Caenorhabditis elegans: one gene and its partner. The protein of the gene in region 1 purifies or fractionates together with the protein of each later gene. This does not show direct contact. Each region holds a gene or a part of one and is shown in the gene's direction. Other genes may lie near its edges.

Evidence for each region.
Region 2: the proteins of eif-2Bgamma (region 1) and eif-2Bbeta fractionate together in Caenorhabditis elegans (co-fractionation; one large-scale study listed by BioGRID). This does not show direct contact.

Annotation. Positions count from the first base shown.
Region 1 is NC_003280.10:6,965,260-6,969,560, reverse strand, and holds eif-2Bgamma (Translation initiation factor eIF2B subunit gamma), read left to right. Parts: upstream 1-1,912; 5' UTR 1,913-1,918; coding exon 1,919-2,069; intron 2,070-2,120; coding exon 2,121-2,284; intron 2,285-2,336; coding exon 2,337-2,493; intron 2,494-2,543; coding exon 2,544-2,736; intron 2,737-2,783; coding exon 2,784-2,946; intron 2,947-2,995; coding exon 2,996-3,106; intron 3,107-3,148; coding exon 3,149-3,261; intron 3,262-3,429; coding exon 3,430-3,533; intron 3,534-3,603; coding exon 3,604-3,662; 3' UTR 3,663-3,761; downstream 3,762-4,301. Other genes in the region: C15F1.5 (RING-type domain-containing protein), read left to right, coding at 1-28, 74-367, 801-854, 1,214-1,330, 1,375-1,473, 1,523-1,579; tra-2 (Sex-determining transformer protein 2), read left to right, coding at 3,888-4,070, 4,245-4,301. UniProt on the Caenorhabditis elegans protein: Acts as a component of the translation initiation factor 2B (eIF2B) complex, which catalyzes the exchange of GDP for GTP on the eukaryotic initiation factor 2 (eIF2) complex gamma subunit.
Region 2 is NC_003279.8:11,890,772-11,895,644, reverse strand, and holds eif-2Bbeta (Translation initiation factor eIF2B subunit beta), read left to right. Parts: upstream 1-1,917; 5' UTR 1,918-1,924; coding exon 1,925-1,986; intron 1,987-2,031; coding exon 2,032-2,368; intron 2,369-2,579; coding exon 2,580-2,940; intron 2,941-3,669; coding exon 3,670-3,932; 3' UTR 3,933-4,069; downstream 4,070-4,873. Other genes in the region: Y47H9C.8 (NACHT_N domain-containing protein), read right to left, coding at 1-42, 668-776, 838-1,104, 1,171-1,403, 1,466-1,546, 1,604-1,646.

The DNA of each region.
Region 1 (4,301 bases):
AGCGAAAAGGAGAAAGTCGGCAGATGCGGTATAGTTTTTCGGCTCATTTAATTACACACGTCAATTAGTTCAGACCCGACAACCATGTATGGGATCACTACACTGTGAGGGTGAAGTTCTTCGAAACTTCCCTTCTGAATTGGAGTGTGACCATGATGTATGTATTAAATGCATCGGATCAATGCTTGACGAATGTGAGAAAAATGGAAAGTCACCGGCTTGTCCTGTTAAAACATGTGCAATTCCGTATCGATGTGAAAGCGTTTTGGCGTTGGATGCTCAGTTTCCAGAGAAGAAGGCGTTTTTCTCCAAGTTCACTCTTCAGGCAAAATTTTCGATGCAAACTTTGAAGGATGACATTGTAACGGTAGGTGTACTGGAGCTGGACGAGAAATTTTGCGCCAAACATACGGTGCACGGTCTTGGCACGATGAATTTTGTAGAATGGCTTTTCCGTTAATGGAAAAAGCCGTGCGTTTTTGAAGAGTACTGTAGTCTTAAACTTTCGAATTATTTTTCTTACCGGTCTTTAAAGACGTCTTTGTCATAGTTTTTTGATAACGGTATTAATGTTATTTTAAAAAACAAATATGATATTAATTAAAACACATAAATTTTAACGAATAGTGAGAGAAAACTATGGAATCAATAAATCAATTAAAAACTCCGCAAAAACAGAAGTTTGAAATTACAGTATCCACAGAAACTTGTCGTGTCAAGACCGGGTACTATACTTTAGCGCAAAAATCTCGCATCGTGGTTATAGGGGAATTAATTTAGACAAAGTTACAATTTTTCAGAACATAATCCATGGAGATCTAAACACAATGAATGGTCAAAAGTTTTCACTCAAGGCAAGTAAATATATTTCTCGTATTTACTAGGGTGGTCGTCTCGTTCTCTGCCACAACCCCGCCTACTTGCACGAGAAAGATGGGCAGCTGCGAAACCCGCGAGATGTCCGAACACAAATAAGCATAGGCCCCCCTTCACTATAGCTCATAAACTTACCTGGCTGGGGGTATCTCGTGATCATGAAGACGGGATCCCCATGGTGAGGCCTACCCATTGCACTTTTGGGCGGGCTGACCTGTGTGGCAGTCTCGAGTTGAGATTCGCCAACAGCTTAATTTTTGCGTATCGGGGCTGCGTGCGCGCGGCCCTGAAAAATATTAAAGTTTAGTGAATCTGAAAATAGGGAAGGAAATTTTAGATTGGCCAGTGTGATGACGACGATGGAGGAATGCCAATGGAGTTCGTTAGGGAAGGAACGCTCGGAGACCTGGTCAGGGAAACTCGTCGTGTTCTGAAAATTCTACCCACCGACAAAGTACGTTGACCCACTGATTCCAAGCGTCCAGTTATATTTTTTAGATCTACGGATACTATCGCATTGATGACAATAAGAAGTCGAAACTCGATGTGACAAAAGATACAATCCGATCTTCTTGTTCTTCTTTGAACATCAACGAGGTTCATTTTAAAACACCCTTGACTTCATTCTTCATTTTAATATTTACAGAACACTACTGTACTTGTCGATACCACGGGAATCGTGTCGAGACCAAAGAAACAATAGAATGAGCTCAATTAATTGATACTCAATTACGATTTGTCATTCTAATAAACAATATTTCTTCAAATAAATTCCTTTCCGATCTAAATACACATCTTATCGTTTCTTTCCTCCAGAATTCTGCAGAATTTATAATATACAACAAATCTTGCTAACGACAGTATACAACAAATCTGGCTAACGACACTCCGTAATAACGCATGCGCGTGTTGTTTAGCCCGTAAATATACAACAGTTATTTTTTAAACAAAAAAACAATTCCAGCAGAGTTGCAAGCTTTCTCTTTTTTTTCCTAACATTTTAAACATATTTTTTTCGTTCAAATAACAATTTCAGATAAAAATGCACGAAATGCAAGGGATACTTTTGTGTTCTGGAGGTGGCACACGCATGCCTGTCCTTACACGCCATGTTCAAAAATGCCTACTGCCTGTTGTCGGAGTGCCAATGTTCCTTTATCCACTTTCCTCGCTTCTAAGAACAGGAATTACTGGTAACATTGATTTTTTATCGTTAAATATGATTGAGTAATTAAACTTTTAAGATATCAAGATATTTGTTCGTGAAGTTCTTCAACTAACTCTCGAAAAAGAAGTAAAAAAGTCGAAGCTATTAGAAAAGTATCCAGCACATATTGAATATATTTGTGTCAATCAAGAGGATTTTGGAACCGCGGATCTATTGAAGAATCATCATTCTAAAATTACGGTAAGTCAATCAGCTGAAAAAGAAGTTACCTTAATAATTCTAATTTTTACAGAAAGATGCATTGATTGTTTCCTGTGATTTTATCAGCGATGCCAGTCTCATTCCACTTGTTGATTTCTTCCGAGCTACAAATTCCACGCTTGTCGCTCTTATTGCAGATACGTGTGTCAATGCTCCGGCTCCGGGATCAAAATCGAAAAAACCTAAAGGTATTATTTATTTCAACCTTCCTCTAATTTATCAAAATATTAATTTACAGCCACCGATGTAATGGCAATAGTAGAATCGACAGGTCAACTTGCATTCCTTTGCGGAGATGATGATTTTGATGCTCCATTGGTTATGGAGAAAAGTTTGAAAATATTCCCATCGATCAAATTAACTTCAAAGTACAATGATTGTCATGTTTATGCTATACGTCATAAAGTTCTTCTTAATCTGTCAAAATCAAAGTAAGTGTTTCTTTGAATGTGTTTTACTCTAAATGTATAATTTCTAGACACATTTCATCATTCAAAGCCGATTTTGTGCCTCTTCTGATTGATAAACAATTTGAACCGGATTCTGATATCAAATGCTTTGCATATCGTCTTCCTCATGAAAATGGATTTGTAACTGCACATGCGAATACTCTTGGCTCTTATTTCGAAGTGAATAAAGCTGTAAGTGCTAATAATGCATTATCATATAGCCTTTAAATTGTTTTTTTAGATTCAAAAATCTTTTACTCGATTGATGGAATATCGCGGAAATGGGAAGAATTTCAACTACAAAACTGATAAAATTGCTGCCCACGAGAGTCGGATCGAAGAAAGCGCAGAGGTAATACTTGTTCAAAAATAGTTAGGGAACATTTCCATTCAGATTGACAAGGATTCAGTTATCAAACGGTCTTTCATCTCGGATAATTGTCGGATTGGTGAAAAAACAAAGCTAAAAGAGAGTATCATTGCCAAAGGCGTTGTCATTGGAAATGGGTTAGTTTTGGGATTTTCGTAGCGCGAGAAGTTTCGGATGAGCTTTCGGAAAAGATATTTTCTTAATAAATAGACAAACATATGAAAACTTTCGATTTAAGAATTCTTCTGTTATCACAATTACTGATTTCTTGAATTAAAACTTGAATTTATACTTTTCCATTCCAGTGCCTCCATAAGCAACTCTATTATTTGTGATGGAGTAGAAATCGGAGAGAATGCTGACGTCACCAATTGCATTGTTGCTAAGGATCAGAAGGTACCTGCTAAAGGTTAGTTGTTTTCATTAGTGTTGTTTTTTTTTTAATTTCTCGTGTTTCTTTATAAATCAACGATTTTCAGGCAAAGTTCAAAACGAGGTAGTAGAAGATGGAGAAGACGAAGAATGGACCGATGATTAACAATCTTGGAATTTTAGGAATAATTGGAGCCTTTTTGTGTTTTCTCTTTTTTTTACGCGGTTGTTTTATTTTTGTTTTCTGATAAATTTATTGAAGATTAAGTTTTTTTGAAATTTTCGTTTTCCTCTATCTTTCACTCCAATGATAGGTTCTCTAACCCTACAAATTATTTTGAGTAATATTTTTATTTACGATATTATTTTACTAACAGATAATAATGGAACAATGAAATTGAAATACAATAAACTTCTCGTTTCGGTGGTGATTGTCACCTTTGTAACATTCGGGTTGCTCTTAGCGGAATGTTTTGGAAAATCAATTGATTATCAAGAAAAATCAATATTTCCATCGTTTGTCAGCCAGGGATTCTTCGAAACTCGTACGAACAATGAAGAATACATTATCGAGGTATAACCTTTTCAATTTGGAATTCAGATACTGAAAGTTTTTAAAATTTTAAAATGGCTATTTGAATTAGATGACAAGGTCTAAATATTTTTAACTTTAAGCTAAGTATGACATGATTTTGTGAACAAACAAATGTTTTTAAATTTTCAAACTATATAAATATAAATTTTCTAGAAAATCGCTCAAACCCAGGAGAATGGAGTAGATATGCGATCAACGTTACATTTCACT
Region 2 (4,873 bases), on another chromosome or scaffold:
CGAGCTCCGGGGCTCCAAGTCCGGCCAGGCAGATCAGGAAATCTGGAAAATAGATTTTTAGTGGATTTTGGATTTAAAGAAGGAGAAAATAGCTCAAAAATCTTAAAATTTCGCCAAATTCCAGCTAAAATCTGCAATTTTTCATTGTTTCAGCGATTGAAAACTGATTTCTTGCACTTTTCCGGTTGAAAGTTGAAAAAAATACGAAACATGGACCTGAAAAAGAGCAAAATTGGTGATTTTTGGACATTTTTTGACGGAAAAATTACAAAAAATGCCTAATTTCAGCTAAATTTTGCACATTTTTGGCACTTTTTAAGTAAAAAAGTGGTAATGTACTACAAAAATTAACAAAATTCAGAAAAATTCATAATTGTTTTTTTTGTCCGGCTTGTCTCATTTTTCGCCGTATTTTTTCTTTTTTCTGAATTATTGAAGTTTCTGGGATTTTTTTCCTCTCTTTAAGAAAGAAGAAGAAGAAGAAGCCGAAAGCCTAAGCCTAAGCCTAGGGATAAGCCTGAGCCTAAAGTCTAAGTCTAGCCTAAGCCTTAGCCTTCTTAAAAAATCAGAATCTGAGATTTTCGCTAAATTTAGACGTTTTTTCGAATTTTTTGAGCGTTTTTCCCAATGAAATTCGAGGTTTTTGAGCTTTTTTCTGAGCTCTTACGGAGCAAAGTGTGCACAACATGCGGTGGAATGTCCTGAAGCCATTTTTTGTGCGAAGTACCGCTTTGTCTGAGGCTGTAGTGCCAAATTGCGCATTTTGGCTGGCATGCCTGGAAAAAATCGACTTTTTAAACATTTTTTTTTTTTTAATGCATTTTTGATTTTTCCAACCACAGCAAAGTAATTCTTGATAATCTGCTTGCTTTTCCCGTTCAAATCTCCACTTTTTCGAAAAACCACAGAATTATAGATTTCTAAAAGATCCATTTTCCGGAAAATCTCAGTTTCCTGGATACAATGCTCGCCGGCTCGGATACGTGAAGATGAGAAGTCTATGGACTGTAGAGATGATGACGTGGCACTCATTGTGTGAATTTTGAATTTATAATTTTCAAATTTCTCGCGAATGCTTGACATTGAAGTTTTGAGCAAATTCCACTGAAAAAAAACCAGTTTTTTTTGTTTTTTAGGTGAAAATTCAGATAATTTCTTGGAATTTCGTACCAGAAATGCATTTCCAATGACTACAAGTCTACTATCAATTGTTCCAGTGCTCAGCTCTTCGGACAGATTCCAAATGCTAATATTCGCCATAGTTGGCACATTTTTTGCGAATTTTAGTGTTAGCTCCTTCAGTTTTTCGTCATCCAGTGTTTTTTCAATTATTCCATCGGCAATGATTCTTCCGACCTCTTCCACATTAATTTCAGGCTGTTCCAGTTGTAATTCTAGGTCTTCTGAAATGAAAAAAATTATTATTTTTCTACTTTCTCAAGTAAAAATTTAAAAATTGAATCACCTATCGGAGATCTTTCTAATTTCTCTTCAAGTGCCGCACGTATCGAGTTTTGACTGGTTCCAGGACGCTTTGCTGGGAGATCTGAAGCATTTTCTGGTATTTTATCGATTTTTCGAAGCTTTCACAAGTTTTACTAACCATTAAACCCACCCACGTCTTCTTTTGAGCGTTTTCTATTCATTGTTCACAAAAAAATCTTGGAAGAATTACTGTAAAATCTACAGAGAAATGGATAAAAATTTAAAATAAAGAATGTCCACGAGGAGTACAAAAATTGATTCGAGAGAAGTACACTGGAGAAAGTTAGTCGTGGAGCGCGTTTGCATTAGGATAATTTCAACACATTTTTGCATTTTTTTGGCAAAAAGTGTATTTTTAAAGTTAAAACTTGCTTTTTTTTCAATTTATTTCTTTTATTTTAAACATTAGAAATAAAATTTAAACCCGTACAGATTCAAAATGAGCTCGGACAATGAAATTGAAGACCTGAAGCGAGCATTTATTTTTGCTTTACGAAAAAAGTGAGTTTTCTGATGAAAAAACTCAATTATTCCTTCATTTTCCAGATTTCCACGTGATTCCTCTTCCTCCATAGCAATTGCGACAGTGAATTTGATCAGAAAAATCATTTTCCGCGAAAATCCAAAGACAATGAACGATTTGCAAGTTTCGTTGGCAAATCACTGCAAAAAGCTTCACGGAGCCGAGCGATCGGAGCTCATTATTATTAATATCGGCTTAATGATCACGAAATTGGCTCGAGACGAAGTTCTTCAGAAGAAAGGCGGCGGAGAGCCGGAGCCACTGTATACGCTGTGGAGAGATGACGATGAGACGATTAAAAAGCTGAAAACAGCTGATATGAAGAAGATTAAAAAAGATCTTCAGGCTTCCATTAAGGAGGTAATGCTGGGAACTGGAAACCAGAAAAAAGTCGCTAAAAAATGAAAATTTCTGCTCAAAAAAATCGATTTTTTTTTTTAAAATTTAGAATTTTCAACTAATTTTTCTCATAAAAAATGTAGATTTCGATGATATTAATATCAAAAAAAAGGGAAAATTATAATTTTTATTCAAAAACTACACATTTTTAATGCAATTTTTTCATTTTCAGCTAGTAACGGAAATCGAATCATCTCGTGAATGTATTGCATCTCAATCAACGGAACTTTTATTCAATAATGATGTTGTACTAGTTCATTCACTTCGTTCATCTCAAACAATGCACAATTTCCTATCACATGCCGTCAAATCAGGCCGAAAACATCGTGTAATTGATGTAGTTGATGAAGAAGAACATATTGAATCAACTCCTGACTTTGCAACTGCAATTGAGCTCTATGAAGTCGCCTCGAAGATGCCTGAAGCCTCGAAAGTTGTTCTAGTCGCTGCTGCTTATTTCCCTGATGGATCATGTCTTGTACCTGCTGGTGGACATCAAATTGCACTTCTTGCCAAGAGGCATTGTGTTCCAGGTGCTTAAAATGCCCGTTTTTCTAAAAAAGGACTAAAAAATCGGTTAAAAATCAGTTTTTTTTTCTAAAAAAAATTTAAAATCGTTTTCTGAAGACTTTTCTATTCAAAAAGTGCTTAAAATTACCTTTTTTCCGAAAAAAAAAATCAACGGAAAAAATTTAATAAAGCGAATTTTTCGAGAAAATCAGCTAGAAATCAATTTTCAACTTAAATTTTATAATTTTTTCGAAACTATTAGTGGCATTTTTCAACAAAAATTAAATTTAAATTAAAAAATAAAAAATAAAATTTAAATTTAAATTTAAATTTTAAAAAATTAAAGAAAATTTAAATTTCTAGAAAAAAATAAAATTTAAAGAAAAAATTTAAATTTTAAATTTCAAAAAATTAAAAAAAAAAGTTCAAAGAAAAAATTTAAATTTCTAAAATAAAATAAACAATTTCAAAAAAATTAAAGAAAATTTTAAATTAAAAAAAATTTTAAAATTTAAATTTTAAAATTTTTTTAAAACAATTTAAATTTCTAAAAAAATCGAGTTTTAGAAATTTTAAATTTTCTGTGCATATTCTGGCCATTAAAAAAAAAGCATTCTCATTTTGGAAGGAATTCAACAAAAATTGAAAAATCACTTATTTTTTTCGATTTTCTTTTTTTTTCCTAACTTTGAGACTATTTTGAGTATTATGAACGAAAAAAATGGAAAATAATAATTTTCCAATTTTTTCAGTCTACGTGCTCGCTCCATTCTACAAACTGTGTCCATTCTTCATGACAAATCCGGATTCCCTGCACACATTCCGCTCGAATTCCCTTCCATTCGATCTATCAGCCAAATCAGCAGGCCTTGTAGACTGTCTTCATCCGGCATTTGATTGTCTTCAATCTGATTTGGTTACCCTTTTTGTCTCGAATACTTCATGCGTTATTCCGTCTCATGTGAATCGTCTCAAGGAAGATTATTATCATTCACAGGATATTGCTGATTATTAATTTTATATCGTTTTCTTCTAGCCTCATAACTTGTACCCCCCGTTTTTCTCCATTTTTTCTGGGTCTTTTTTCGTCAAATTATTGTTTCTTTTTGTTTGTTTTGCGCCTCTCAATTTTCAGTAAATTATTTTATAATTTGGATGTGACTTTCCTCAAATTTACAGATTCTTAGAGTGGGAGAATCCACACGTGGTGTCAGGCTGTCCCATCGCTCCACTGCACACAAAAGGCGGGAAACGATTTTTTGAAAATTTGTGACGTCACAGCGCATTTCGATTAATTTTTTGTTTGCAATTTAAGAGTCGATTTTCATTAAATTTTTTTCTTATAATTTATAAAATTGATATTTCACCGAAATTCGGAAAAATTAGCAAGTTAAGTGGAGAAATTGAAGCAAAATACAACAAAATACAATTTTTGAAAAATTATGAAAAAAAGTCACAGAAATCGACGCTTAAATTTATAAACAATTAATCGAAATGCGGTGTGACGTCACAAGTTTTCAAAAATATTTTCCCGCTATTTCGCGTGCAGTGGAGCGATGGGGCAACCTGATACCACGTGAATTCAGGGTTTTGTGTTCAAAATAAATTGAAAATCTATCAAAACTTCGGATCCTTTTGAAATTGGGAATAAAAAATAAGAACAATAAACTTGGAGAATTTTGAAGTGGAAAGAAGAAGAAGAATAAGACAGTATCGAGTGGTCTAGCTGCAGTTGAGAAAGAGTGAGTTTTGTTGCGAATACGACGGAGAAGAATCTCCTCCGATCACGACTTTTATAAATATTGCATAATTATACACTCTATAACGGACGCGAACAACACGAGGCTTATCCAGCACATTGCTCAAGGAACAACAGCCAGTCAATGCTAACAAAAAACAACCACGTGAACCATTCCGCCGTGAACTCTCATGCGATGCATACAAAGAGCAAATGAG